2 linked regions of the Lepisosteus oculatus genome follow. Each later gene encodes a partner of the first gene's protein in a complex. Links are inferred from orthologs where the notes say so. Each region holds a gene or a part of one and is shown on either strand. Other genes may lie near its edges. The genes, in order: nfkbiab and chuk.

Region 1 (15,324 bases):
CATTCCAGACGGCGACCTTTGGACACTCCTGGACCTAATTGACACAGCAGAGATTGCCATGAGAGAGCAGCGCTGAGCTGGGAAGCAGATATTCAGCAAGCCATACCAGAATGAAGCAGACTGGTTGAAGGTGGCCCCTCCTGTGCGTGCCATTGCCCGTGCGCAAGGACGGCGGTACAGGAGCAGTTCAGATCGTCCAGGCCCGCAGAGTAAAGAGGCGTTTTAACCGTGCGGGCAAAACATCAGTACAACCGCACAGCTCCTCTAAAACTGGAGTTGTCCCATCTAAAATTTCTTCTTCTTTCTGAAAGAATATTCAAACTGATCGATTCTGTGAGCAGTAATCCGTATCCAAATCCACATTTCTTTTGGCTTTGCTAGATCTTCATTCATTGGTGTGAATGAAGATCTAGCCATGAAGATCTGGTACACTCCATCCTGTAAGAGACCTTCTGTTCACTGTGTATCATTTCCATGTTTGTTTGATGCAAAAAGTCTACTTGTGTTTTCACCAGACAGACAGAGCGCGGTTCACATGCTGCTTCACGAAGTGACAGGTCACGTCGGCCAGGTTTCTGCCTGTACGCTGTGCAGTCAACAGTTTATTTCAGGGGTGTTTGTTAATGTATCCGTAATACCGTATTTATACCTCCCTCCTTAAAAAAAATACGAATTCACGTTCGCCGACCAGTTACATGAAAAGAACCATTCTACATTTCTGACCCCACGGAGTTCATGCACTCTAATTAGACAGCGGGAGGTTTACATGAGGTTTACATGACCCCCCCCAGTGCGACCCACCCTTCGGATAAGTGAGCAGACTGTCAAAGATGAGTGTATTGATTTATTTCTTTTATCCCGCTTAAGTAACATTCTGGGCTTCTCCTCCTCCAGCATGAGGCTTCCAAATCACCGAAATAGTTAATCAATCCCCCGCTAGCAGCACGTAGGAATGCGCTTCGAAACCTGTAATCATTTGCTTAACGAAATCTAAGCAGCCGCGTTTCTGCCGGGGAGGGTCGTTATTCTGTCGCTGCTGGAGGGCTGGCGCGATCCCGCATGACGACTGGCCTGCCGGAGCAGCGCTGATCCGAGGCGACGTTCAGCACTGCGGGAAGCGGACAGCTCCCGCACCTACACGCTCCGGCAGGCAGAAGGGCCGCCGTTTGCTTTGTAATTAAAAATTAATTGTTGCTAATTAGCGCCAGCGTTCGACCGACCCAGGCGGCGAGAGGCGCCGAGTATTTCTGTTTTGATTGCAGTAATCATTTTGAATAATGTTAGGGGGAAGAGGCGCAAATTTAATCCCCAGGCAGGATGACAGGGTCACTGATAACGCGTTTTGCCGGAAACGACCCGTAAACAGCAGTGACGGTGTCTGAAAAATAAGATATGAGATTCACAGCAAAATTAACGTTCCGTTCTTTCCAAGTCTACTTTTATTGCTAGTGCGAGAAGTGAGCACTCTATTCCTCGATTTACTTAACGAAATGAATCCGTTGCTGTTCGTAAAAAGAAACACCAGTCGACCTTTTCACTTTAAGTGCTGATCATTACGTGTAGGAGTTGCACTGACAGTATTTTTATATAAACCTTTATGAACATTTTATTTGCTCGGGGTTTAATTGTTCTACATCTATAGACAGTCTGCGTACCACTCTGTGTCCATTATATATTTGCTTAAAGTTCAATTCGAAAGAGCGGTGTAGGTCTCTTTCAGGCACGGGGTCCTGCTTGGGGGATGCACTTGACTGCTTCATGTTTGCGTGTAATAATGTCTCGCAAGAGCTCCGTGTTCTTGTACTCAGGAGAACACTCCTAATTTATTCATTTTTCTGCATTACTCGGGTGCCCCACAAGAGGGCGCCAACAGACGTTTTTAGTTGACAAAACAAAGGGATTGCAAAGTTTTATAATGCTGTACGTTACGTTTCGCAGCCCGCGTTCTTAATTTAAAATTTTACCGACATCTAAAAACAAAAAGGTCCCGTTCAATGCAATGAGTACATGGGTAAATTATAAAATGAATAACATTTGACTTATACCAGAAAAAAACTTTCCATATGATTGATGTTGTTTAGCAGTTTTAGGCACTTAACGCATTTCAAATATTCCAGCTTCCGCACTGTCAAGTCAAGGAGTCAAATCGGGTGTAGAAGGAACAGAGGTCAGGATTAAAGTCCTTGCAGTGACCTGCAGTTTTGTTTTACTTTGAAATTACAGTCTTGTGTGACTGTTCAGAGAAAGTAGACAGTACAGAACATCCAAATAAAAAACACGCTTTTATTTAAAAAAATAAGCAAATTGATCATCAATATGAAAAGAAAATATCGCAAGGCTAATTTAGTCTAAATCTACATTTCATTAACAGTACTCTATTGTACTGCTAAAAAACGTACATTATCTATGATTGGTATGATGTTTTATAGTGATAATTATCCTGTCTGCTAATGATTAGAATGTATTACAGATGTGTTTTAATAAAGTACTGCTGAATACTGTGCCAAAGAGATGTCTCCACCTAGTGGTAAACTTCCGGTCCCGCAGTCCCGCGCAGCCCGATGTACAGTGTCTCTCGTCTACACTACTGGCGGCGGACAGCAGTGGGGGATAAGGCCCTCGTGTCGTGGGAGCAAACACCAGCGGACATAAGGGCACTCCAGAACCAGGACTGAGAGTCACAGCTCCCCTGCCTGGGCCCAAAATACTGTCTGAGCCAAACTGTGTCTGCACGGGCTCACAGCTGCATCATCATGACACAGTATCAGAAACAGGGCGTGCTCCAGCAGGGTGGATAAGAGTGACTCACTTTGCACAGCACTACAGTGTGTGAAGTGGCAAAGGCATTCTTGTCACTCACTGTACACAGCCTTTACAGATGTTCTAAATTTAAACAATTTGAAGTTGAAAGGAGATCCCAAAAGGCGCGCTGGAGAAATCACCTCTGCTGCTGAACAGCCTGTTAAACGGGATTTCTGTCCTGTGATTCCTTAGTGCTCACACAGCTGGCTTGACAAAGGGAAATTCCTCACTCGGGGACGTCTCTGGTCACATTCCTGGAGATCCTGTCCTGATGCAGGCTGCTAAGACTAGGCCAAAGCAACATTTTCACATTTCTCTGGACTTCTAGTATCTCCTAATAAGGAATGTTTATTGACTAAATAAAACACAACCTGGAGTGAATATTTTATCCTGGTTTAAAATTAAGCATTGTCATTTTTTTTCCTTGTATCACAAAAAAGTGTCTGGTTATCGTTCTTCCTCTGGTAATCCTGTTTTACTAACAGTGATGAATTGAGACACATTAGGCTTGGTCTTATAGAGAGAGATGTCTGGTAGAGATAGAGATGTTTTTGACTCTTTACTTCAGCCCATTAAGAACAGGCTCTTGTTAACAGCGATGGCCTGGACAGCCATTTACACAGCAGAGCCAAGACTGGATCGATCTGGGTGAAGCTCAGAGTTCAAGGCTCCAGCAGCAGTGTTTCTCCTGGGATTTGAACCCACAACCCTCTAGTCCAGAGCCCTGGTCATTCCTTAGGGCTACCTACTCCCTGCTGTCTGGGAGGGGTGATTTAAAATTTCCTCCATCTGATCGTTTTTATAGTTTTAGGTTTTCAGCCAGTAGGTGCTTTCCGATGTCATTTTGGGCGACAATGGGACTGAATCGTGTGTGATGCTTTGGGTTACTTCAGCAGGAACCAATTTCTGTTTTTGAGTATCTGCCTTCAGGGTTAACAGCTATCTATGATACAGTATTTCAGTATATCTAGTTTGGCTAGATCCTAATGAAGGCGATAAGGGGCTGAAATATGATGAGTATGTGGAGTGACTCACCTGGCTGAGGGAGTGCTGGCCTAGCTGTGAGGATAAGGCTGCCCAGATCCCCTCCCTATTGCGAGGAATGAGCTGGGGAGCTGCTACAGGGGTGTAGGGGGGGAGGTGGGGGAGAGGGTGAGAGATAGGAGAATTAAGTCCTTATATACTGTACGCAGGCATGCTGAGGTCTGTGAGATAGGATCTAACCTTGCTCTGAAACTTCTGTTGTAAACTCCATTAGTTTCATGTCAGGGTTCGATTCCATATGCAGGTGTCCTTGGGAGTGCACGTGGATTGAGAACTGGCTAACAGGCAGATAATGGAGAGCAGTGATAGTGGAGGTACCGTCACTATTGACTAGAATGCTACTAATAGCCATATATTCCGTAACAGGAATGACAATTAATTATGTATATAAAATATAAGAAATGTAACCTACAGTACATACTAAACATTTGCCCAAAAGTAGAGTTTTCACATCATTTAAAGAAGCTCAGATTATCTGCAAGAAATCCAGGCTTGGATTTGTAAACTCTACAAGTCTAACCTGTGACTTTGGATGTTTCAGCTCAAACACCCATCAAACAACAGCCAAATGTGCTGTGAGAACCTGTGAACTTCAAGCGCAGACATCGATAGTACTAAGACATCAGGACTAGCCATGGTGTCTGCAGATCTCCGTCTCGCAGAGGAGTTTCCCGGTGTCATGGTGTAACGAGCGTAAAGACTGATCCATGATGAGACATGAAATGCCTAGCAGCTATTTAAACAGCTATTTTGTTGAATTTGTGTGTTGAATCAATGTCCTCTGTTCTCTGTGCAGTGCTGCATGTTCACCACTGCTGGACTCGTAGCCCCTGGCTTTTCATCCGGCTCCTCCAGAGCTGCACACTGGGCCCTGATGTCCAGCAGTGCTTATTGCATGGGCTCTCTTGGATCATGGATCAATGGGCGCTTTTCTGTAAGAAAATATCTTTGTCCTCCTTGATGTTAAAGCCGTTTCGAGACACATCAGCAAGAGAACATTGCCATTTACCTGTTTCCTTTAGCAAAGCTCATCTGTGTTCAAAATGTAATTAATGCATTTTGTCCCTTCGTTTCGTTCAGGAGCCAATAGCTTCATACAGAGATGTTCCTGCACATTGTAAAGTGCACTGCAGCTTTCCCATAGACAGCTCCAGCCCAGCTGTCCCAGGAATCACTATATCAGACCGCAGAATAAAACCCTGGGCGGGTAATTTCACAAACCGTACACATCTAGTCAGCTGCATCACCCACTCGCTGGGCGCACGGCTAATTTCTTGCTTAATCGCGGCAGTATGGCCTTGCGTGGATTTGCATCCCAGCCCTGGCTCTGACTCACAGCAGTGTCTGCCCCACCCAGTGGGTGTGCTCCCGCCAGGCCCCAGGAGCTGCTGGGAGCCGGAGCTCGGAGGCCCAGCTGGAACGCCAGTTCCCACAGGCTGCAGCCCCTGGGCTCAGGCCCTGCGCGGAGCCGTCCTGCCTGGAAGCTCCAGCTGCAGGGATTCCCCGGACTCTCCCACTGCGGGAATGTCAGCCACCTCAGCGCGGGGAAGTGGGAGGCCGTTTGGCAAGAGGACGCCTGGCGCTAACAGATGAGGATAGGAAAGAACTACGCATTTTAAAGCAGCTTCGAAAAAACAACAACTGTCCCTCAGTGAAAGAGTTCATTGCAGTTGAACTGAGTTTTGCAGCAAAACGCCGAAGCAGCACAGAAATTCAGTACACATGGACTCAGCTGACTGACGGTCCTGCTAGGACACGGCAGCTTTCAGGCGTAACCCACCTCACAGCTTCCTCCAGGGAAAGAGACAGAGAGTGGGGGCGGTCAATCTTTCCACCCTCTCAAAAGGTGGTGAGCTATCTGAGAAGGTATTAAGGCACCTGCAAAGCAGCAGCAGAGACGTCCTGCTGTGTCCGGTACAGCATTGCCACGGCCTGTTTAAAAACTCATCTGCCATTCACACCCACAGAGGTCAACGTAAGGATGTACTGTATAATTTCCATCAGGCTTTTCTTTAGTCCCCTTCTCACCTTTACAGGAGGCAAAAGCCGTAGTTTAATCGTGTTAAGAAAGTGACAGGCCTGTCTGCTTCGGTGGTCAGTATGCGCTTTGCTGCAGTGATGCCGCGCCACAGAGCTGTGTCCAAGCGTTGTATAACTGACAACACGGGTATCTGAACCAGAGGGGCGTCGTCCCACCATCAAAAACAGAGGTCTGGTCTTTTATTTTCATTCGGCTTGTTCTGTGACAGAGATGTGGCACTGGAGAGTATGCCACTAGGGAAGTATTAAGAAGCATGACTTTATTAAATTAAGTGATTTGGAGGCACTTTGACCTTGCGAAAAACCTTCAGTGTGGTGTAAAAATAAAATAAAATGCAGACTACAAAGGCTTGAAAACAATGCTCGAGGATACAAAACAACAGCATGGCCCGACGACAATACTTGTGAAAAAGTGCCTATGTGGCGAAAACTAATAAAGAAATGAAGGAATGGATTATTCGGATTAAAAGTCTGCTTTTGGAATAGAGCCGTTTATCAAAGGCAGTGCTCACACTGGCTTATTATTATTATTATTATTATTATTATTATTATTATTATTATTATTATAGTTTCTGACAGTTTTTAGTCTACACGCTATAAAAACCAGCATTTCACTGAGGCGAAAGCTGTTGCTGTCTCTTGGCCGCCAGGGGGGGCTGTGGAGTTGAAGAAGGACTCGCGCTTCGATACCGTTGCTATGCTGCGGTTGCTATGTTTGTAAAATTCATTGTACTAATGCAGTACAGTGTTTTGCAAACAGAAAATGTCCGGGGTTACTCATCTCATGTCACAGGTGAAGCCTCGATCAGGTGGAGTTTCCCACAGCCGTAATTCTGGAATGGATGCTTTCATTCAGAAAAAAATATATAAGAAACTGAAAAGTTTTTTTTTAACCATAGCAATAGTGACCTAATTAAAGTGTGGTGCTTTTTTAAAACAGAGGAAAAGATAAATGTACGTCATACCGCACACATAAAATTGTCTCAATCCAGAAACACTACAGCAGCGCAACCAATCGTTATGCAAAGTTATAACTCATAAGCTCTTCTCTCCTGTACCTGGATTCTGTCGTTGTCTTCCCGTACATTACAAAAAAAACAGTTAACTACTTTTGCAAAGATTTGTTTTTCCTGCAGTGTTAACGGCTATGCATGCATTAGATCGCAATGTCGGGATTTTCATGAACACATTCTGAGTTTTTTGGGGAAGAGTACATCTTCAAGGGGTTTCAGGCTGTTAAGAGGGTTTCTCCATGAGGAAAGTCCAGGTTTTTCTTTGCTTGGTAACTTATTGTTTGAAGCACGAGCATGATCAGAAGATTTTTATTTACAAATTCCCATCTCCGCTACAAAACAACAGAATACCAAGAGAATTTTTTCAAATGTTTTCTGCCGTCTGGTGCTTTTCTTTTCTCAAGAAACAAAATTCCTGTGTGGGAAAAGTCTTTGTCAGACATGTCTAGCACTTTATATTTAAAAAGCACCGTGCAATGTTCAATTTCCCACATGCAAAATAATTGAATCGTACCTCGAAGGTTAATAAAAAAAACACACACTCTTAAAACCGTACCCAACAATAAAATAGCTGGGGTATAGCCTTCCAATACTATCAATAACACATGTCCTCAAACAGAGTACTGTATAAGAGTATATATATATTATTTAAATTTTCAAATTAATATTTAGGGGCAACCCCACCTATTGGCTGAAGTCCCCCAGCCTGTGCAGGAGTAAAACGCCCTCGGCTCGAACCGTGGGTTATTTCCCCCAGAAAAAAACCCAACCCTCCCAGGCGCTGTTGTCCGATATTCAGTGGGACTCTGAACTCGAGTGGAAGTGAATCTTTCCCAAACGAACCTCCTAAATTGAGTTCCCATTTCCATCACGTATTTTCTCTCTTTCTCAAATGCTCCCCGTTTCTATCTGAACATGGAAACCCGTGCCGGCACCCAGATCCCCTTTATTTTATTTGGCCGATACCGTCCATATCTACACAGACGGGGTGCACAGTGCCGAATGTAAAATACTGTAGCTTCACCGTGAAAATAGTCGTGTGCGGGTTTAAAAGAACAGCGCTCACCTGCAACGTACTTACAATACAATGCAGGTTTTGTTTTTTTGGGGGGGGGAGCTCAGCATTTGTAAAACTCCTTTTCAAAAAGACTTTTGTTTTCTCTGGCTTACAGAACACTTCCCTGCTTCAGGGTTCATCATGGTCCAGGACCCTGTTTTTATTTAACATTTTAAGTTCTGACTGCAACGACTTCCCAAGCTACAGTAACATAAAACGGCTGGATTTGTTTTTAAAAAAATATACATATAGCTGTTGTTAAAGCAATGCAAAGCAATTCGGAAATTATTTGTGAATCCCTAAATGTCCCATCTCGCGTACTTATTCGGAAGCCTGCCTGGAGATCGATGTCGTACAATATCGTGCAAACCAAACGTGATTTTAAAGAAACTTAAAACTCTCTCATGCGTGGGGAAGGGTTAAAAACTACCGACCCCTTCTCTACAAATAACATTTTAGAAGCCCTCACGACTCCGCAGCGCGGGAACTTATAGTGTAAAATCGAGGTTATATTGATAGGAAACTACAAATTTTCATTCTTACTAAACGGACTGATCTGGGGGGGAATTTTCCCCATAAAAAACCCTTGTTGAGTTTCCCCAGCTGCTAACAATGTTCTCACAAGGCTGCCTCGCCAGTCACTGGAAATCCCCGGCTGCCTGTTGCTCCGCCCTTGCTCGCCTGGCTTATATTGGACGGGCTCTGCGCCGACACTCATTTTGAGCTCAGAGCTAGAGAGAGGACTGTCGGAGGCGCGACTCAAGATCAAAATGGAAGCTATTAATGGTAACCAGGGATATTACAACATGGAGGATCGGGATCTGAAGCATGGGAAACATTTGCAATGCCAGGACGAGAGGCTAGACAGCGGGTTGGATTCTTTGAAAGAGGAGGAATATCAAGAAATCCTGCAGGACATGGAAAACCTGAGGGTGAATCCCACGGAGGCCAACCGGAATGACTTCCACAACGACCCGTGGAAACTGCAGAGGACGGAGGACGGAGACACGTAAGTTGAATTTGTTGACCGCGGAGGACCCGCGCGTTACGAAATAACGAGGAAAGAAGGGCGCTTAGTACGAGTGCATGAGCTGGGGTTTGATCGAAAACGGCGTGGCTTGTAACAAGCATATGCCGTGCTTTTACAGAAGAATCAAGAAGTGTTCAGATAGAAACGACACCATAAGCGGGGGGGGGGTTCGTACTCGGAAACAAAATGACCATCGCGCACCAGAGCACGCAGGTCTGCAGGGAGTCGGGCGGCACAGACAAAAAGGGTGCATGCGAGAAACTTTTTTTTTTTTTAAAGAGTTCAAAAAAACCTTCGGTCTTTGAGGCGAGAAGGCGCTGGGCGTTAGTCGGAGGGGTTGACGTAAACAGCGGGGCTCGGAGTCCTCTGCGCCTCGCAGGGGCGGCGGCGGAAAGTCCCTGGCGCGGCGCCAGCGGCGGGGCGCTCATGTGTCAGGACCTCGCTAGTGGAAATTACCACCGAAAACCCAGGCTTGCGCAACACGCAAGTGCTGCTTCAAGCACTTCCCTCCCTCCCCCCCCCCCCCCATCGGCCTCCTTTCCAGTCCCTCCAGAAACCGTGTAACTGAATGGATTCTCATCTTCTTTTCCTCCAGGTTGCTCCACCTGGCTGTTATTCACGAGGCCGCGGACTGCGCCCTGCAGATTATCGAGCGCTGCCGCGGTGACCCGTTCCTCAACGTCCAGAACAACCAGAGACAGGTAATTTCCAGCAGAAGGGATGTTTTTGTCTAGTTCCCTTTAGTGGGGAGGAATTGTTAATGGGGGTTTTTTTTTTCCTTCAGATTTTAATGTGCAGTGAAGACGTTGATGAGCATGGATTGACATTCCTCTTCCTTTCTCTTATCCAAATAGACGGCTCTCCACCTGGCCGTGATAATGGAGCAGCCCCAGGTTGTGGAGAGGCTGCTGACCGCTGGCTGCGACCCCAGGCTGACGGATGACTGTGGAAACACGGCCCTGCACATCGCCTGTAAGAAGGGCTCTCTGCACTGCTTCAGCGTGCTGACCCAGGGCAGCACACAGCACCTGCCCTACATCTTCAACACCACCAACTACAACGGTAGGTAACCGTTGGCATTCGTCGTGCAGTGATGCCCTTTATTAATGTTATTAATGTTAACTCGGAGTCAGCTGGCTTTGGTAAAAATAAAGACTCTGAGCTGGAAATCGCCAACATTGACGCCAGAAACAGAAGGCCTGGTGCCGATGTTGAATATCTGGAAAGATCGGAGGATCAGCCCCACTACCACGCTGAACCATGGTGGCCTGTCACTGACCAGCTTGCTCTTCCTTCTCCTTTTCCAGGACATTACTGCCTCCACTTGGCCTCCATCCACGGCTATCTTTCGCTGGTGGAGAACCTCATTCAGCTGGGTGCCGATATCAATGTGCAGGTAGGTTTGTGCTCTGCCTTGTTGGGCAATTCCTCGGGGTTCGAAGGGGCATATCGTGAGAGGCTGGGTGGTACACTTGAGCATCTTTTCTGGAACACGTCTTCCAGTCCACCATTAGAGCCTTGAGTTTTAGCGGGGACTTTGCTGTGAGATTGTGCTTCCGCTGGCTCTGGAGAGCGTGTGGCCTGTCTGACGTGAGCTCGCCCTGTCCTCGCAGGAGCAGTGCAACGGCCGGACCGCCCTGCACCTGGCTGTGGACCTGCAGAACCTGCCCCTGGTGCAGCTCCTCGTCGCCAAGGGGGCCGACGTCAACAGCCTCACCTACGGGGGCCACACGCCGTACCACCTGACCTACGGCCGGCAGAACGCGGAGATCCAGCGACACCTGTACGCCCTGACCGCGCAGGACCTGCGGGAGCTCCCGGAGAGCGAGGCGGAGGAGAGCGACGACGAGCCTCTGTACGAGGAAGATGACGTAAGTGTCCGCGCTGTCCCAGTCCTTGGCTGAACCGGGTGGGGGTGGGGTGTTGACGCATGAGGCACTCGACTGAAGCAGGAGCAGGAATTAACGTGACACTAGTTGTCATCAGCTCTGATTGGATGTGTCGAGAGCCGTGGGTGGTCACTGGTTTCCTTTCAGGAAGCTAGACGTGGCGGTTCTCTTACCTCTGCAGAAAAGTGTGTGTGGGAGGGGGTTCTTGACTCCTGCGGGCCCCAGAGCCTAACCTGCTCCTTTGCTTTCCCCTCCAGATGTACGACGACATTCAGCTGGTGCGGCAGTAGTGCTCGGGCCCGGGAGCCTCGCGCTCTGCTGGAGGAGCAGAGGAGAACACAGCCGCTGGCAGGTCCCAGAGCCTGCCCTGGCCGGCAGCCAGTGCCAGCAGGAGCACTGGCCAGACTCCGTGTCGCCGGGCCGAGGGCGTGGGAAGTGTTTGTGGAGAGGAAGGGCGGGGCACAGGGGAGCTGGACAGACAGGCTTTGGAACTGATCAACACTGTGAGCCCAGGGAGGATTGCACTGGGACCCAGACAACCAGTTCACTGCACACAGAACCTGTACTGGACCTGAATTTCCAAAGGACTCTGACTCGGTCTTCACAACCCGGAATTTCTGCAAGCTGTACACCTTGGAGTGTAAATATGTAAATGATGTACTATACAGAGAAATCTATTTTTTTTGAATGAACTCTTTTCAAATAAGTTTCTTGAAGTAAATGAAATGTTATTATACATGAACACTATCGAGTGTGTGAGTATCTTGTATGTTTTAAGTACTAACTGAGGAGCCATACCTGTATACATACTGTAAGCAAGAATAAAAAGAGAACCATGACCTCTGTGAATTTGTCTTGAATTCTGGGATGTGAACAGGAAATGTGATAGTGGTGCTAAATGGGGGGGGGATGAGCTTTTTAGAGATTTGAGAGGAGTAGCTCAGAATTTGAGGGTCGCAAGCGCTTCCACTTGGAGGTTGATAACGACATTGGGAGTCCTGGGATTCCAGCCTGCAACCCCGGTTTATAGTCGGCTACTCTGAGGTGTTAATTCCACTGTTCAACAGCACAGTGTTGCCCTCGAGATGAAGTTAAGACAGTGCAAAGTACAGAACACCCCAAAATATCTTTTTTTAATATAAAAAATGGAGTGCTAAAATATCTTTGTATAGTCCTAGGTGCTACGCAACATTCTTAGACTTGCGCCAAATTGATTTCACCATGGCTGTCATTCATACTGTGGTGAGGGGGCTTGTAACTGGAAGTTGATGGGCTCAAGCACCAGAGAAGATGCTGCTTCATCCACTCTTGAGCAAGACACTTCACTTGAATTGTTCAAGACAAACGCCCAGCCTTATAAATACAAATATTTGCTTTGGATCAAGACATGAGCCTGATCAATCAGTAGTACTGTGTACACACTCGTCAGCCACGTCTTGGGGCACGGTCTGGACAATTATCTGGGAAGAGGATCGGATTGTCCCTGTGCATGCTGTACGTGCCCTTTTCCTTGTCTGATCAGCAGGCTGGAATTTCCAGAATGGGTGGGAACTTCCAACAGGCAAAGGGATTGTAAACCCCCACCCGAATAAAGGCAGGCTGCTTTTATTTCAACTTTTCAACTTTCCTATATCCCACGTCTTCATTCACTTAGGATATTTCCCCTGGGAATTAGTCAGGAGAGGGGTTTCAAAGTGCAGCTCTGGGAAATGCGAATTGGCCACGAAGGATGTTGAAAGAATTTCAAGAAAGACCGTCCACATTCTGAACAAGGATTGACTCACTGGGCATTTCCAAATGATGCACTACAACTACCCCAATGCACTACACTGAAAATAAACAACATTCCTTAACACAGAGAAGTTAGATTAGTTAGTGAGTTACACTAAAGGAAAATGAAAGAGGTATTTTTGTTCAGTATTTTCTAAATAATCTTTTCCTAATACCTGCAAACAAAACAAACAAGTCTGATTTGTACCACTGTGTCTTTCCAGGCAGCTTTTCAGAAACAAAGCAATCCACACTTTTTTCTTCTGAAAGCAGAATTCAAGTATTTTTGGAAATTGGCGTGGTTGTCATACTCCAGTGATTATCTCCACTATAACAGACGTTTCCTACGTCTGAATGTTTAAGCAGAGCCAACTCTGGTAAAGTTTTCTTTTTTTTTCTTTGTTCCCGTGCTCGGGGGAACATGCTGTTCTACAGGACATTAGTGAAGCCATTAATTTTTTTTGCTCGGCACTATCAGGTATGTGTTGCGCAAAGCCTCACTCGTTCTTTGGTCAAGGGAGAGAGTTCCCTTCATGTGGTCAGAGAGGGAGCAGAAAGGCCAGGGGTCATGAAGGAGAGGGCTGAGGCTTCGTTCACACCTACTCTCTTCAATGTGGCTTTAAATGTTATAAATACCCAGTGAATAGAAGCAAACATCCTCCCACACATGAGGAAAACCGCCAACGTAGGATGGCCGAATGCTTGTGTCCCCCGCCCCCCCCACACACAAACAGACTGCCAGTGCTGGGGGGTACTGAAAGAAGATGGCTTGTTGGTTTGTGAGTGGGGTGGGGTGTCAATGTGTGTGTGTGTGCTTGGTGCAAAAGATCAAGCAGAGGGTAACCCCATCCCTGCATTTTCCAACCACTTCATCCAATAATTCCACACTGGGAAATTTTCTTCTTCCTCCAAAAGGCCGATGGATGAGTAAGGGGGACATCGGGCAGGAGGAGGAGAACGTGGTGTCCATGGAATCGGAAGTCTCGGCGATGAATTCCGAGGGCAGGTTTGTAAAAGAATGGAGAGGTTAAGGAAGGAATGACCGAGTCACAGAATGCTAGGGGAAGGTGTAGAACTACAGGAGTTAAAGGAGAAGTTTCACTGTGAAAGGCCACAGACACAAAGGGCAGCGCGACCATGGCCTGGATTGTCAAAATCAACCCTTGAGCTCTGGTCTTCGCTGCCCTGACGTGCTGCTTGTCTTCTGTCTGTAGCACCAGTGGTAATGGCAGGAGCTTTCTGGAAGAGGTGCAATCAATATTTAAATGAGCTGGACAACCACGAGGCCTCTGGGTATCCGTGTTACTGGCTGGACGTTTGCTGGTGATGCATCAGCAGATGGTGCCTGGTGTGGATGGGTGGCATGAGGTGATGGTGGCTGTGGACAGTTAGGAGGATGTGGAGCAAAAGGCTGTGGAGATCAGGTGGTCAGTGGTATGAGATGATGGTGGATGTGGACGATGTGGAGTAGAAGGCTTTAGAGATCAGGTGGACTGCATTATGAGATGATAGGTGGGTCAGGAAAAATGTTTGCAGTTGAAGGTTTACCCTGAGAACATTCCAGGATCATCCAGAGGCTTCATTTGCCCACACACCCAAAGACTGTTCCCCAGCACAAATGTGTTTTTTCTGTGTTACATCTACTTTTCCTTGTTCCTTTGTTTTTTCCCTACTATCTGTTTTTTACATGCTCCAGCGGGGCCCTGGTTTTCCGCTGTTGGATATCTTTATCACGGAGATACTGTGTAAAATAATGCACCTCGTGTAAGTTAAGCTGGGGGGGTCCAACTGATAGGAACAAGGTTATAGTCTTCATTTTAAACACAGATTTCAACAATTCCCCTTATTGTTTCAATGGTGTAAATCGTTTGCTATTACAGTCACTGCAAAGGGCATGTTTTTGATGTGGTTTTTGTATCATTTAAATAGCAGCTCAGCTCTGTCCTGGGATTTTGGTGTTTCTCTAGTGTGCTCAAAGAGGGCTCAATGTGAGTGTCTTGTGATCACCTCCTGTTTACTGTTTAGGTAAATTCTCGTCCACAGCGTTGTCTATGAGCCTCTCACAGCAGCAGCATGCAAATGACTTAGTCATAACTCTCACCCATTCAAACAGGCAGGAACAGGAAATGCGCAAAAGCTAAATGAAAATTACAAACATCTTGAAGTGCCCCAGAAGTTCGAAGAGCCGCTTATGATTCAGTGTGATTTGAGAAATGACAACCATAGAACAGATGGAAAACCCAAGGCCAAACGAATGGCTTGGGAGGTGTATTACTCACACAGAGAACCAAATCATCTTATTGTTAACAAACTTGATGCAAAACTCTCCCTACATCTAAGCCCATCAACACAGCCTTCCAGGTAGGACCTACATATTGCTCAATTTTTATTTTCTGAGGAAGTCGGTTTATTTTCAGTTTGAAACTTTTCTTGTCATTGAGTAACACTTCACCTGTGAATGATTATGCAAGCATGTGAGTAATAAATCCTGGGACATTTCTGATACCTCTTGAAAAGAAACTGTTTGGCAAACTAATTTTGCAACTAATGCCAGCAATGTTTTTTATTAAATAGACTTTAAATATAAGAATGGGGCTTTCATGTGCTACTTTGATTATTTGTTATAAGTGCTTTCATGTAAAACATTTCAGGCAATGCACATGGAGGTTTTTGTAGTCC
Region 2 (14,579 bases), on another chromosome or scaffold:
GTAAGAATAACAAATGAAGCCCAACCTCCAAATAAAGTTTAAAAATGAAACATGCAATGATGTGTTATTAGGAGGAAGGAGGAAACCAAAAACTTGGGATGAACATGCAAACTCCACTAAAGAACTGAAAACTGAATTCTGGAATTGTATGTAATGCTAAACACGCCACCATCAATGTCAACCAAAGCATCTGCAGAACTGCGTCTCCCTCATTCAGCTCTAGCAAAACCCGTCTTTCATTAGTACCATATTAAATGACTCTTTCTTTGCTCTGATTTCCTTTGTCACCTCAGAAACAATTTAAAATGATGTAGGAGCACGTACATTGCTGCTCTCTGTCCCTGGAAAAGGCGGCTGTAGTCTTCCTTCAGTCCACAGATGTAACTCACTGCTTCACCCCAAACTTTCCTCAGTGAGCTGTTGGGCAACTGTGTTCTGGATTCCCGGACTAAAAACAGGACAAGGACATCATAAGAAAGGTGGCAAATGAAGGAGGCCATTTACCTCATCTGGTCACTTAGCAGCTAAAACTAAAATTTTATCCAGCTGTTTCTTAAAAGAACCCAAAGTTTGGGCCTCAACCACCTGGTTAAGAAGCCAGTTCTAGAAACCCATAACTGTATAAATGTTTCCTATTCTATAGTTTAGATAAATCATAACAATTTCCAATTGTGAACCCTCGTGCTTGTTTCACTACTGAATGTGAAAATCCCCTGGTTAGATCCCCTTTAAACCACAATCCCAAAGAACAATGAGAAGGGGTGAAAAAACGTTACAGAACTTAAAAAGTGGGAAACAGTCTCAGTACTCTTGGGAGTACAAGAGGCCCAGTAGAAATCTTCCAAGAAGTCAATCTTATTACATTAAAAACATTACCAAAACATACCTATAAAATTGACATTATCTGGTAGTTTTCTGGCCGCAAAAGGTCCCGAATATACAGTCATGCTTTTGTCAAACAGGTAAACTATGTAGCTGTCCCATCCTCTCTGGATCGTGAAAACAAAAGAGAACAAAATGCATTACAAACATCACCTTTTACAAAAATAAGGCAGTTTGAGCACCATACAAAATGTCATCACAAAATGCTGTAAAATGTCTCCTTACAAATCCATCCAGGACACACTGAGCTGCAGGCTTCCTGGGGTCCAGGGAGACCCCAGTTTCAAGCAGCAGCTCCTGGTTCAGATGCTCAATGCTAGTCTCCAATTCAATGCGCTGCTGAAGACAGTGGAGTCCCTCTTCTGGGCTCAGTTGAAACGAGTGGATTTTGGCAGAGGTCATGTTTAATATGTGCACAACCTAGACACAAAAACAGCCATTTAGAACCAAAGGAGTTTTTACATTATTTTCTAAAAAGAAGCAATATATAAGAAGTAACTAACACACCAATGTGAACTTGATTCTTGGTTCTTTTAGTATTGTTATTGACTGGAAGCAAACATTTCAGAAAGAATATCAAAAGCATTTCTGAAAATGGAAGAGCTAAAGCTTAAAAAGCATTTGGTTGTGTTTTAAGACTGAGATTTTAACTTGAAGGGGAAAGAGAAAGGAAAAGAAAAACTACTGAAAAATACCTTCATGTTTAAAATCATATCCAGAAGAACAAAGCACTGAGGCTGATTTGTGTCAGAGTGTACAGGCCCTCCTCTCTGCACAGGGTCCCATCGCAGCAACAGCTGTAACAAACTTTCAAGAGGCTCCAACATTGTCCTGCACAGAAAACAACATCACAGAAAGAGTTACTACAATAATGTGTGAGATGGAGGTGGTGTAACCAAACCATAAGTCACACAAAACCTAATATTAAATTCCCCAGATTTAATGAAATTTACAAAGTCACAACAGTAATTATGTAACAACGTCACATTGTGTCGGACATAGTGGGTATGGAGACACAAGTAGCATGTTTCACCTCATGCAAACATTTTTGGAGATTTCAGCTTTGGTCCCTTTACCCCAGGTCATGCAATTCTCCGTCTCATTTAACTCAGTGACAGAGATATTGTACCTCAAAGTAAAATTACTGACCTGCTGAGGTTATTAGGGTAAGGCAAGTGGGTGGAGAACTTGACTTCCCCATTCATTTCTTCAACAGCCATGATGTCCTTTGGGCCTTTGTTACGCACTTTTGTGGTCCTGAAAGAGGCGTTCAAAAAATGAAAAAAAGAAGAGATTAGTCAAAAGGCACACAGAGTACCTGTTGTATCTAAGAGAGTGCACCCCAATGAACAGATGAAATTACACTATTTGCTTTAGAAGAAACCTCACCAAACCCTAAATAAATTAACAACGGCCTCTCGCAACCCCTCTCCAGCCCTTTTCAGCCAAATATTAATTCACGGCTCACCTTTAACTGAAAAACTTACCATTGGATGGGCTGGAGATTATGCAGAAAAGGACGGAAACCACAGCTGCATTCAAAGATCATTGTGCCGAAGCTCCAGTAGTCCACTGTCACGGTGTACGGCTTGTTCTCAAACAGCTCGGGGGCCTGGAAAAGGAGCAAAGACTTTTCACAGTCTCGTACGGTCACTTGCAGTACACAGTACACTAATCAATAAGTATATTTGTCTCCCAAGCACGTCATAGCAACACACAACAAAAATCTCACATCACGGTAACCTTCTCTTTGTGCAACCCACAAAAATGGGTAAAACTCTTCACTTCCAAGGTCACAAGGTAACGCCCCTGGTGACACTCACCAGGTACTGCAGCGTTCCCACGAACGATGTGCAAAGACTCCCTTGATCCAGGTCCTTGGCATACCCCAGATCAATTATTTTGTGGACTAACTAGAGACAAAGGAAAAAAATGTTTAAAACACCAAAAAATTAGTAGTGAACAAGAATCACGTTATACTTTTTTTGAGAAACCAATGGGTAAAAGCCTAGATCTAGCAGTAAATCTAAAGAGCACCCAACAAAAAGCTCTTTGGTTGCTCTTGCTCTTTCAATAAATGAAGAAGACATCACCAGATAGCAAAGATCAACAGATTCTGAATAATAAACCACCATGAAGACTGCTGTCTTACCTTTCCATCAACATCCTGAAGAACTATGTTCTCTGGTTTAAGATCCCTGTGTATAATTTTATTTTCATGCAAATACTGGATGCCGGACCCTTTAAAAAAATTAAAAATTTAAGAGCACCATTTTTTTAAATACAGTTTATACATTTATTTTGCTAGAATACACATATATACACAATACAATACAAGTGCTGTGAAAAAGTCTTTGCAATCTTATATATAATCAGGAGTTCAACATGTGTGTTTCATAAGCATCAACAAGTTGTTCAAAACCCCCACTTGTGTCTGCTACATGTTCTAACAGTAACTGTGACTATCTAATCAAACTTAAATCTACTTTAGATTAGAAGAAAACAAACTAGTCTTTTAATTCCCAATGATCACAAAATCAAAAACATGAGAACACCAGCTTAGGGAAAACTTCACCACAAGTATCTTATATGAAATGCTGTACTAATTAATCCAGCGCATCTGCCAATAAAAACTAAATAATTCACCGTCAGGTGTCCCATTTGAAAACCATGCTACACAGAGCATGACAAAGATTCAGTGGGAAAGACCCAGCAGTAAATACAGGATCCTTTGTATTTCGTATATGTAAAACTAAGATTTATAGACAACATACCAACGTCACTGAGCAAGGAGAGCACTTCACTCTCTTTCAATCCACAGCAATTCTCTGGCTTGTTCAACATCTAGGAAAAAGGTTACATTACTAACTATACCTGCTTCATTAAAGAGCATGCATGTTGCACCTTAAATGTGCATCTAATCACCTCTTTTTCACTGTAATTCATGTAGAACTACGTTTCTCAATCAGACAGATATAATATCATTAGCAAATAACACATTTGAAGAAGCGATTTTTTAAACACTAAACTGAAAAGTGCTTCTACAAGTACCATTTCCCATGAGATATATTTTACAGTGCTGCATTTTCTACACAATGAATTAGGGAATTCTTAAGGGTCTCACCTTACGAAGATCTCCCTTGGAGCAATATTCCATTGCTAAGAGTGGGAGGTCATTAAAGGCTATGTTTGTCATTTCCTCTGGCACTTCCCGGGCTGTCACTACATTGGGATGATTAAGCCTGAAATAAAAATAGAACCAACTTGTAAATCATTGAGGAGTTGTGATCTAAAGCTTACACAGGCAGCCTCTACAAAACTCTTTCACGGCTATGGATTTCATCCCTGTATTTTCCAAGCGCTTCATTCAATAAATGGTCACGGAGGAGCTGAAGCCTATATCGGCAAGCGATTGAAAGGCAGAGTACACCCTTGAGGGGACGCAACTCCATCGCAGGCAGACGCAAACACAGACACACTCACACCAGGGACATTTTTCCCCAAAAGCCAAATAACCTTCAAGTATGTCCTTGGACTGTGGGAGGAAACCCATGTGAACACAGGGAGAACATTAATATAAATTCCACGCAGATAGCAACCTGGAAATTGAACCCGGGACCCTGGCTCAGCGAGGCCGCAGTGCTAACCAACTGTGCTGCCACCAGCTATGGAATCCCTGCCCCCACATGGCATGCATTTAACTGTGAGGCCGGAAAATTACGAACACATTAACCGGCAGAAAGATCACAAGTGTGATGCTGCAAATACTGAAACAAAGCTGAAAAAAGCATGCTAAATACTGTCCCTCAAAACCACATCCTTTAATGGTGCATGCAAATAAAAGGTACTGTTTGACACTATTAATCTACGTCCTAATGCAAACTTAAACAGGCCGTTCCCCTTTCTTGCAAGAAGCTGGGATATGCATAACATCGGAGCTAAACATTCTTTAGGGAAGTCACGGGAAAGCCACGCTTGCGACAGGATAATCAGAGGGAAGAAAAGAAGTGCTGAAAATGAAGGACAGCCATGAAGAGCTCTCCTGTCTTCCACAGAGTCTCAGACGTACTTCTTCATGATTTGTATTTCCCGGCACCATCTTTCTTTGTTCTTCTGAGTCAGCTCCAAGCGGCACGACTTGACAGCAATCTTCTCGGCTGTCTCCTTTTGAAAAGAAAAAAAGAACAGCAGACCGAGCGAAGTCACATTAAAAAAAGAAATACAATAAAACGTTATAACTTGTGTCAAGTAAAACCAAAAAAAAAAGACAAAACAGGAATAAATATCCCAAAATATCTACTTTGTTAATAACAAAGACAATCAGTCGCTGAGCCAGCGTGCTGATCACACGCCAAGCTTCAGGAACAGATGTGCACCCATCACCCAGCTGCAAATTAGAAACCTGGTGCTCTAGCTTACCAGAAGCTTCTCAGTTTTTCCCCAGAGGCGGGATATGAGGCACCAGTCAAGTGGAGAGCAAGCACCATGCAGACGGACAGTTTATCTCCACTGGTAGAGTACAGCTCAGCACCCCGGAGGATACAGCCCGCAGGCCGACAGAGGGAATCGCCATCACCCCCTGGGACTGGCGCCTGCATTTAGAAACTTCCTTTTTTGCAATGAAGTTGTTTATTGTCCCTCTGTATTGACACACAGCTACACTGTCGCTTTGGGGCGAATGCCTTTGTAAAAGCCCACGTTCAGCGTCCCGGAGCTGGGGAATATGGATGAGTGTCTTGAATTGTGAGGGCAAAGCTACAAAGCTTGAGGGACGCGTGCGAGCCCTTGGCGATCACCAGGTCCTTGATCATAGGCCACATAGCTCTCCAGCCACTGGCCTCTCTACCCCAAGCATTAGCGTTTCTAGAGCCGTCATCCCTGCTGCACTCACCAGATGCTGGTACAAATACACATGGCCGAATCCTCCCGTTCCCAGTTTCTCCTTCATCTCCCACAATCCGCACACCTGATTCTGCCTGAACGGCGGTTTCTCCATTCTCTGCTGTAAAAAGTTAATTTTCCTTAGATTATTTTTTTTAATGCGAGTGAGGTCCAATACACCAGACTGTGAGAACACTGAACAAAAATAATACACAAAGAAAATCATACAATGCTCAATCCAGAACATCTCAAAGCATCCCCTTTCTGTTGGAGCGAAATTTCAGACATTTCTCAAGCACTGAGCATCTGTCTGTGCTGTACATTGAGCTAAGAAATGGATTAAAAGCCCTTGTGTTCATGAATCGGGCCCAAAATAGCATCACTTTCGCAATGGTGCAGCTCATTTGTGGCCAGCACCAGGACAAGCTTGTACAGACTCTTTGTCATTTATCCCTGTTATTTTTGTACCTTGGATTGCACTGCTCAAGTATGCAGACTGTACTTATAGTTCCAATCTTACTGCACTTTGCTCTGACTATATTAACGCACTTGTTTTGACTGCACTTCTGCACGTAATGCACATTTGAAGGGTAGGTATTTTACAGCTGGGTGACGTAAAGTGCCATTGGATAACAGCAGCAGGGCCAGTAGCGCTTCTCCTGGGTGTCAACATTGCAGACCAGGGCCAGGTCCCGAACCGGGGCCCGTGCCGTCCTGGAAGCTCAGCTCGTGGATAAAGTGGAACACGGGAGCGCGGGACGCCGACGTCACGAAGCGCCGGGTCACGGGTTCACAAAAATGTTACCCCGACCTGCCACTGAAAAGCCCTGTGGAATCGACATGACCTTTAACCCAGCACGGTTCTCTCGAGACTTCAGACCGGCAACACGACGCTTTTCTGAGGGAAATGAAATCCGTAGTCTGGAGCGGAGGCTACTCGGAGTTGTTGCGTGTTTGTTTCTCCCGTGTCACAAACACGGAAAAGAACCGTTAACTAAAATACGTGAAGCCTTATATCCGCGTCTCGCTTGTTTTAAAGTGGCTGAAAAATAAACTTTGCCATATCCTCTCGCCGTCCTGAACTAAGAGCACCAGTTTCAAAACAGACCCGCCTGGGCCAGCTCGGCTCGGCCGGTCCAATGGCCACAGCCCCCGCGGTGGGGATTAGACTCCACACACGCCTCACTCACCTCTGTTATGTTCACACAATGAGACTTAGTCGGCAAGCAGCCTCCGGGCCAAGAGCTCTGACAGCGCGCAGTCACAGCGGCCCGCTCATGTCTCCCCTCGCAGCCGGATGCCAGACCCGAGGCCGCCGGCCTGCTGCATGTAAACAAGCCCGCTTCCCGTCCGTCAGCCGCTGTCGGTCTGCCCCATGCTCACGGGGGAACCGCTTTCTCGATACCGCGACAGGCGCTGAACAGGTTTAAACCCCCCCACCCCCCTTTTCTGCAATTTTGCCCCCTTTCCTCCCCGCTTCCCAGCAGTAATCTCTACCTCCCCTCCGCCCTTCAGATGCGGCGCTTTGGACTTTCCCAGAAGTGACGTCACCGCCGCCTCGGAGCAGCACGCGCTCCTGTACCTCCGGGTGCCCGCGCGCTGGTCTCGAGGTTGTCAGTTCCGATACCTGCGTGACGGTTTGGGCTCTGTATCCGACCAAAAACAAAACAGCGAATGGGAATATTCGCCATCCGTTACGCGTTTTCATGCAATTTTTAATTTTGAACGTAATTGCGAACCTTACACAATAATAAACACTGACTACTTTTTTTTAGTTAAGATCACTTTATTGGCCATATACAATTTCTTGCATTGGGAATTCGTCTTTTCACATACCCCAGCTAGCTCTCCATGAGACATAAACACACAGAAAGGGAGAGAAGCCTGGGGTCAGAGCGCAGGGTCAGCCATTGTACAGCGCCCCTGGAGCAGTTGGGGTTAAGGGTCTTGCTCAGGGGATTCCTCTGCCGGCCGCGGAATATGAAACGGCAACGTTCCGGCCACAAGCACAGATCCTAAGCCACAGTGCCACCACTCTGCCCTAACGTACTTCATACGAAGTCTGAATTTTGTATGTAATTCTTCTATAAAGCAATGTAAATTGTAAGTTTTATTGCCAGCAGCCATATCACCCCGCAACCCACTGAAGCTCAGCAGGTGTGAGCCTGGTCAGTACCTGGATGGGAGACCTCCTGGGAAAAAAGGTTGCTGCTGGAAGAGGTGTTAGTGGGGCCAGCAGAGGGCGCTCACCCTGTGGTCCACGTGGGTCCTAATGCCCCAGTATAGTGACGGGGACACTATACTGTAAACAGGCGCCGTTCTTCGGATGAGACGTAAAACCGAGGTTCTGACTCTCTGTGGTCATTAAAAATCCCAGGGCGTTTCTCGAAAAGAGTAGGGGTGTAACCCCGGTGTCCTGGCCAAATTTCCCATTGGCCTTTAACAATCATGGCCTCCTAATAATCCCCCTCTATGAACTATCACTCTGCTCTCCTCCCCACTGATAGCTGATATGTGATGAGTGTTCTGGTGTTCTATGGCTGTTTGCAAAAGGTGGGGCTTCATATTGGTGGTGGTGTAGGGGATCCCCATTACCTGTAAAGCGCTTTGAGTGGAGTGTCCAGAAGAGCACTATATAAGTGTAAGCAATTATTATTATTATTATTAATGTTCCTTTCACCAGAGAAACCCAAAGCATAAAAATAGAAAATAATGTAACACCTACATACAAAAGGGAAAAAAATAAATTTTGACTAGAAATACTTTTAAATTAACAGTTTTCAGCTGAGGTACAATAGAAGTCAAGGAGTCATGGTTTATTTAACTCAGTCCAATTGGCCCAACTAGCAAAGAGAGTCTGTAGATCTAGTGAGCATACGTACTAAGTATCTCTTGAAGATATACAGTACCTTAATCACCAAGAGCTTTATTTTTAATGTAGCCATTTTAAAATCAATTCTGTGATCCACAAGTGAAGAACTTTTACAATGCTAAAACATATTGTCTAGTAACATTTTGAGCAAGGCAAGGTTGAATAAACAGATGTATTAGCATCTCCTGGCTTAATGTACCTAGCTAGATTATTTTGGAAGAACAATGCAGTTTTAATACCAGGATTTGAAAACACACAAAAAAAACTATTTTCATTGGCATAAAATGCATGTTAGGGCTGTATTTTCTAATTTTAACTTCTGTATAAAGCTGTATAAAGATCCAACAGAATTTCTCAGTGAAACAGATACGTGTCAGTTTGAAAGGGGTAGGCACACCGGTCAAAATCGTTTCTAGACCAACCAATAAAGGTAGCTGGAGCTTTAACAGAGCCGTGTCCGTCGACTGTATCAAAGGGAACTGAGCTGATAGCGTTACCGAAACAAGACCTGAATGTTTTCCAGAACCTATTGCCTCAAGAATACCTTTTGCCCCAATAAGTGTGTCTCACAGTCGTGACTAAACAAAACCCAAAATGAAACCTCTATAACAAATTGTCACTGCTATGGTTACTGTACCGTGGTCATTTTAAGAAACCGAATTTTCTCTTACCTCTAGATGTCGCTATAGAAGTTACTTCGGGTTTACCTTAAGCACACGCCAACCTGAGAAAGCACGCAAACGTAATAGACGTTTCGTCCCAAGTTGCTCGTTTAGAGTAGCTAAGCGGTTCGATGATCCCTTACAGTCAGTTTATGACAGAGGCCAGGGTATCGGCTTCAAAGAGAATGGGTTGCTTGTTCCATTATATTAGGCTTTACAGCATAGTGGGAAGCTGTAGCGCGTCGTGCTTTTTATGTACTTTTGATTACAGTTCATGTTAATATTGCAACGAACGCTTTCCTTTCAGTCCTGGCGGCGGCGGCATTTAGGAAAGACAGGCTGGAGACGACTCACAGGCTCCCTGACAGTTTAATTGCCTTTTTCATTACAGCGTGGCCAGCTAGTCACGGAGGAGAGAGAGGCAGAGAGGAAGCAAACGTTATCTGGATTAACAGGGGAGTGGGAGAGGAGGGATTGCACATGGTTTTAATGAGGGAAAAGGCAGGAAATGTGAACCTGTGGTAAAGGCTGAGAGTTCGTGGGGACAGTCCAACAATGAAGTTAGAATTGGGAATCCTGGAGTTGGATTGACTGTCTTCCGAGCAGTGGGCAGCAGCAGGGATCTGGTCTGGAGAGGACAGGAGCACGCAGTGGCTGCTGGGATACAGCAACAAGGGAGGGCTTGCCTTCATCAGCTGGTCTGACTGTTGTGGTTCCAAGCGGGCTCTTGCCCTCGCCGTTCCACCCCGCTGGCTTGTCCCACAATGCCTGGGCGTGAACCCAGTGCCGGTGTCATCGCCCTCCCTACATGTAGCAGGGACCTCAGGCGCCTGAGTTGAGGGAGGTCTCCTTCAGCTCATTGGGCTGGTTCCCTTTTGCATTACGCCGGAGACCTCCCTCATCTCAGGCGCCTGAGGTCCCTGCTACATGTCGGGAGGGCGATGACACCGGCACTGGGACTATCGAGCTTCGGGTGGGCCTTCTTCCATAGAGGCAACTTTCTGTCGGAGCGCGCGTGGACACGGCGGCGCTGGCTTCTCCTGGCCTTCCCATCCGCCTGGCGACCAGCCAGCGTCCTCGGCTCACAGCCCTCACCTGGCCAGCAGAGGAATCACGGACTGTGACAAGAACAGGCATGACAACAGTACCCCGCGGCTCATGGTCTGGGGGGGGGGCTTCAGCTGATTCAGAGCAGCTGGGTTTTGGCACCCCTGCTGTGGTTTGCGGAGGGCACTTGCTTTGGCAGCAGGGTCCTGAGGCTCGTGGTGGGTGGGGTGGGGGGCCTGTCACCGGACAGACTCGCTAGGGTGGTGCTGGCTGGCGTCCTCTGTGGAGCCTTGGCAGAAAAGTCCCACAGCTCGTGGGGGTGGTGCTAAATGACCCCCTCTGTCTTCGATGGCAGGAGAGCGGTGCAAGAGCTCGACCTCCTCCGGGGCAGTGAGCGCAAGGGAGCCACCGTCAGCCTGCCAGCCCATCACTCCCCCAGCTCAGGCTGGACAGCGTTCGCGTTGCCGTGTTCCTGTGGCGGAGTATCCCACTCGTAACACCAATGCAAAGAACGCTCACTTCGGCGGCAGCAGCATTAGGAAGGACAGGGTGGAGATAACCTACAGGCTCACTGACAGTTTAATTGACCTTGTCATTACAGCAGAGGGGGGGTGCGTGTCACGGAGCAGGTCAAGCTAGGAAGACGGAGAGGAAGCAGGCATCCTCCTGACTCCAGAGGTGGGGAAAAGAGAGAGAACAGATTGTTTCCCAGCTTTGTAAAGGGAAACAGCAGGAAAGGATGAACTGCAGTGCCCTACCCACTGGGGCATCTGAATCCACACTGAACAAGCTCCAGTAGGTCCAGAATACGACAGCCAGAACTCTGACCAGGTCATGTGCAGGTGATCACAGTATGCCCGTCTTGCAGTCCTTTAAGCGCTTTGAGAAGCCTCCTTTAAAGGTGCTATATAAAATTAAGTTTATTATTATTACATTGACTTCCTATCCGGCTTCATGTCGACTTCAAAATCCCCGTGCTCGCCTACTGTATAAGGCTGGAAATGGCTTGGCACATCAATACCTATCTGTCTCATTATCTGTCTACTTCCCACCTCACAGCCTTCGCTCGTCCAATTCTGGACTCCTTCCTGTCCCCCCAGCCCATGCACTCTCTGTGGGTGACAGGACCTTCTGCTGCACCCCAGAGCTCTGGAATTCTCTCCCTAATGATATCAGAGAGCCACCTACCCTGAGTGAGTTTTTTACAAAGCCTTTTTCTTAATTAGTGTCTGTGCCCGCCCCATTTTCTAATGACCTTGTGTCTTCTGCTGCTCTTCTAACTATTTGAGATTCTTACATGTTTATTCTGTAATTTACTATCCTTATTACTCTTTTTTACACCTACCATAAAGCACTTTGAGATGTTACTCTGAAAGACACAATAATAATAATCATTAATATTATTATATGAAAGGGGGGAGGTCGTGTTGAAATCACTACAATATGAATGATACAATAAAAGATCATAAAAGACATTATTCTATATAGAATCTTTAAAAACAATAGTCTCAAGGCACTATTCAATTAAAGAAAATGACAAAGAAGATAAAAACACAAAATGGCTTTTCTGAAAAAGTTTAATTTTCGACATAAAATTTTAATTTTAAAAGCTTATTTTGATAAGATAAAAAAATGTGATCAGAACAATCTCTCCATCCGAACAGATGTTATGACAATCAAACTAAATACCGTACTGAAAAATCAACTTGGACCTTACCGTTGTACTTACCGCGAAAATGATTTTGTCTGCAAGGAAGCAAGAAACGCTCAGCACATCCACTAGAGGCCGCTGTACAATCACGAAAATAATGTCGTTGTGATTGACGAAAGGATTTTTGCTTCAACGAAATGTACCTTCTGTTGGGAATGCTCAGATGCAGGTAAAATGCTGGTATACAAAATAAAACATGCAACGTACTCAGTTTTCAGTTTGGGAAAATTGGTTGGAGTCGAGTTAAAATAAAACCCAGCAAAATTTGCATTGAAACATCACGTTGTGAAAATCGTTCTGCGAATCGCAGTTTTTTTTCTCCGAACTACTAAAATACTTCACAAATACTTTGCTTAAGATATTATTGTTATTTCAAAATGATTCATGTTCAATAAGAAAAAGTGTTCTTTTACAAATAATAAAGTAGATGTGAGTACATCAAAGTGAAAGAAGGAATGTGGATAAGACTATCATCTCTGAGGAGAGGTAATAGTTGCCGAGCACAGGAGACGAGCATGTTTTTTTCCCGGTAACTGCATTTGATTGCTCTGCTGTTTCTGAACAGAGCTTGTGAAGTGTGATTGGTGAATCTCAACAGAGTGCTGATGAGGCACAATGTATAATTCAAGCTTTGATTGAAAATCTGTAATATTATTATTAAATCATTATCATTATTAAAGCTGTAATTATTCTAAAACCTTATAAATTGAACAAAGCAATGGAAAACTGGAAATTAATATTATGTATGCTGTAAGCTAGTTAACATAAAAACTGTTATAACTCAAAACTGGGAACATTTTCAATGAGAAATGTGACATTTAAACGTTGTTTTACAGGTTCTGATTAATTTCATAATTTGTTCAGGTCATAAATTTGTTTCAGTCAAGACTGGTTTTATGCAGTAGTCTTAGGATAAACAGGGAGAGTTCATCATAGGAAGTCTGTCTCATAGCATTAACGGTCCTTGAGGCTCCTCTGTGAAAGCCTGGGTCATCGTCAGTGAGACCTGAGATACAGTACCTTCAGTAAGGCCTGGGTCATCGTCAGTGAGGCTTGAGGTACCTTCAGTAAGGTCTGGGTCATCGTCAGTGAGGCCTGAGATACCTTCAGTAAGCCTGGATCATCGTCAGTGAGGCCTGAGATGCCTTCAGTAAGCCTGGATCATCGCCAGTGAGGCCTGAGATACCTTCAGTAAGCCTGGGTCATCTTCACTAAAGCCCGAGGAAGACTCAGGAAGGCCTGGGGCATCTTCAGTGAGTCCTGAGCAACCTGGGATGGTCTGGGATGTCTTTAGTTAGGCCTGGATACCACAGCTGAAATCCTCTCTCAGTAAGGTGCTGCTGTTATGGACAGAGCTGTCTGAGCACAGCTTGCTGTAGATCAGTTTCCTTGACTACACTGGTTTTGAAATGTTTTTATCAATCCCGAACTAGCCTATTTCACTCTGGTTGTGCTTCATTTAAAATGAGGGTCTCCACTATGGCCTTTGGGGTTAAATAGGGTCACCCAACTTGACAGATTTGGAGACCCCTGCCTTTAGCATTTAAAGTTAACCAATCTTTAGACACCAAACTGTACAGAAGGCTTAATTACCTTCTAGGACATATTTTGTTGTGGCCACAACCACAAAGCTATGTGCTAAGCATCACACTTCCTATTTTCTCTTCCCATGTACAAAATAGCAACGTCTATTTGGTGTATAAACACTCTTATTAATTCTTTCACCACAAAGGGGATATGATTCACACTCTCCGAGAAGCTGAAAATTAATTGGCCTGTCATTCTTTCCTTCTCTGCGACTATGCTTTATCTTGCTAATGTTTCTCACAATATCCCGTTACTCATTGTTTTAAGCCACAGTGTATGTTTTCATTTGCTCTGAGACAGTGGGAACACCCACATGTAGTATTCAATATGGCTGCTGTTTGCAAGTTTTTAATCCAATTCTAAAACACAAGTTTCTCGGTTTATCAGGCTAATTTACAGGTCAGGTTTCCTGTGGAATCCTCTGCTGCCATTTGTATTATGGGGAAGGTCATCTGAGAGCAGTAAAAGCCATGCAGAACAGCCTGATTTTAAGAAAACCGGAAGAGCCATTAAATATGTTCAGACTACATTTTTCAGAATACATTGCCGTCTTTTTGCCGGGTCTTTTATAAAGACGAAAAGAAAAACGTTTTTTTAATCGTTTTAAAAGGTGACAACAGAAAAATTACTTCTCAATGAATTGGTCTAGGTTTTCCCTCTTTCAACAGTCAGGATGAAACATATAGACACCATAGGTATGTAAGACGTACAGTAAAAAATTGTATGTTGATAAAGTGACTCTGATTTGAGTCATTCAGTCATATGATTAACGAATGATGATCAATTCCTCTCAGTATGTACAGTCGTTTGGTTTTGTTCATTGTGTATTCAAATTTATTCTCTGGGAAAAAAAGCCATATAAGGTAGTCCTTGGCAGTCAGTGGGGATTTTGCTTGGTCTGAGTGCTTCATGTGATCCGCACATTGTGACTGTGAGA

What was found.
Region 2: nfkbiab (region 1) and chuk share a complex: the UniProt entries of both Homo sapiens proteins name them as parts of the 70-90 kDa complex. The link is inferred for Lepisosteus oculatus from reciprocal best matches to the Homo sapiens genes NFKBIA and CHUK.

The regions. Positions count from the first base shown.
Region 1 is NC_090703.1:3,276,348-3,291,671, forward strand, and holds nfkbiab (nuclear factor of kappa light polypeptide gene enhancer in B-cells inhibitor, alpha b), read left to right. Parts: upstream 1-8,661; 5' UTR 8,662-8,726; coding exon 8,727-8,965; intron 8,966-9,581; coding exon 9,582-9,687; intron 9,688-9,840; coding exon 9,841-10,048; intron 10,049-10,293; coding exon 10,294-10,382; intron 10,383-10,599; coding exon 10,600-10,857; intron 10,858-11,132; coding exon 11,133-11,165; 3' UTR 11,166-11,714; downstream 11,715-15,324. UniProt on the Homo sapiens protein: Inhibits the activity of dimeric NF-kappa-B/REL complexes by trapping REL (RELA/p65 and NFKB1/p50) dimers in the cytoplasm by masking their nuclear localization signals.
Region 2 is NC_090699.1:17,632,079-17,646,657, forward strand, and holds the start of chuk (inhibitor of nuclear factor kappa-B kinase subunit alpha), read right to left. Parts: upstream 7,302-14,579; 5' UTR 6,954-7,301; intron 5,885-6,953; exon of another isoform or gene 5,882-5,884; 5' UTR 5,879-5,881; coding exon 5,774-5,878; intron 5,047-5,773; coding exon 4,952-5,046; intron 4,125-4,951; coding exon 4,007-4,124; intron 3,727-4,006; coding exon 3,657-3,726; intron 3,124-3,656; coding exon 3,035-3,123; intron 2,796-3,034; coding exon 2,706-2,795; intron 2,495-2,705; coding exon 2,370-2,494; intron 2,140-2,369; coding exon 2,032-2,139; intron 1,714-2,031; coding exon 1,578-1,713; intron 1,303-1,577; coding exon 1,108-1,302; intron 990-1,107; coding exon 887-989; intron 449-886; coding exon 325-448; intron 1-324.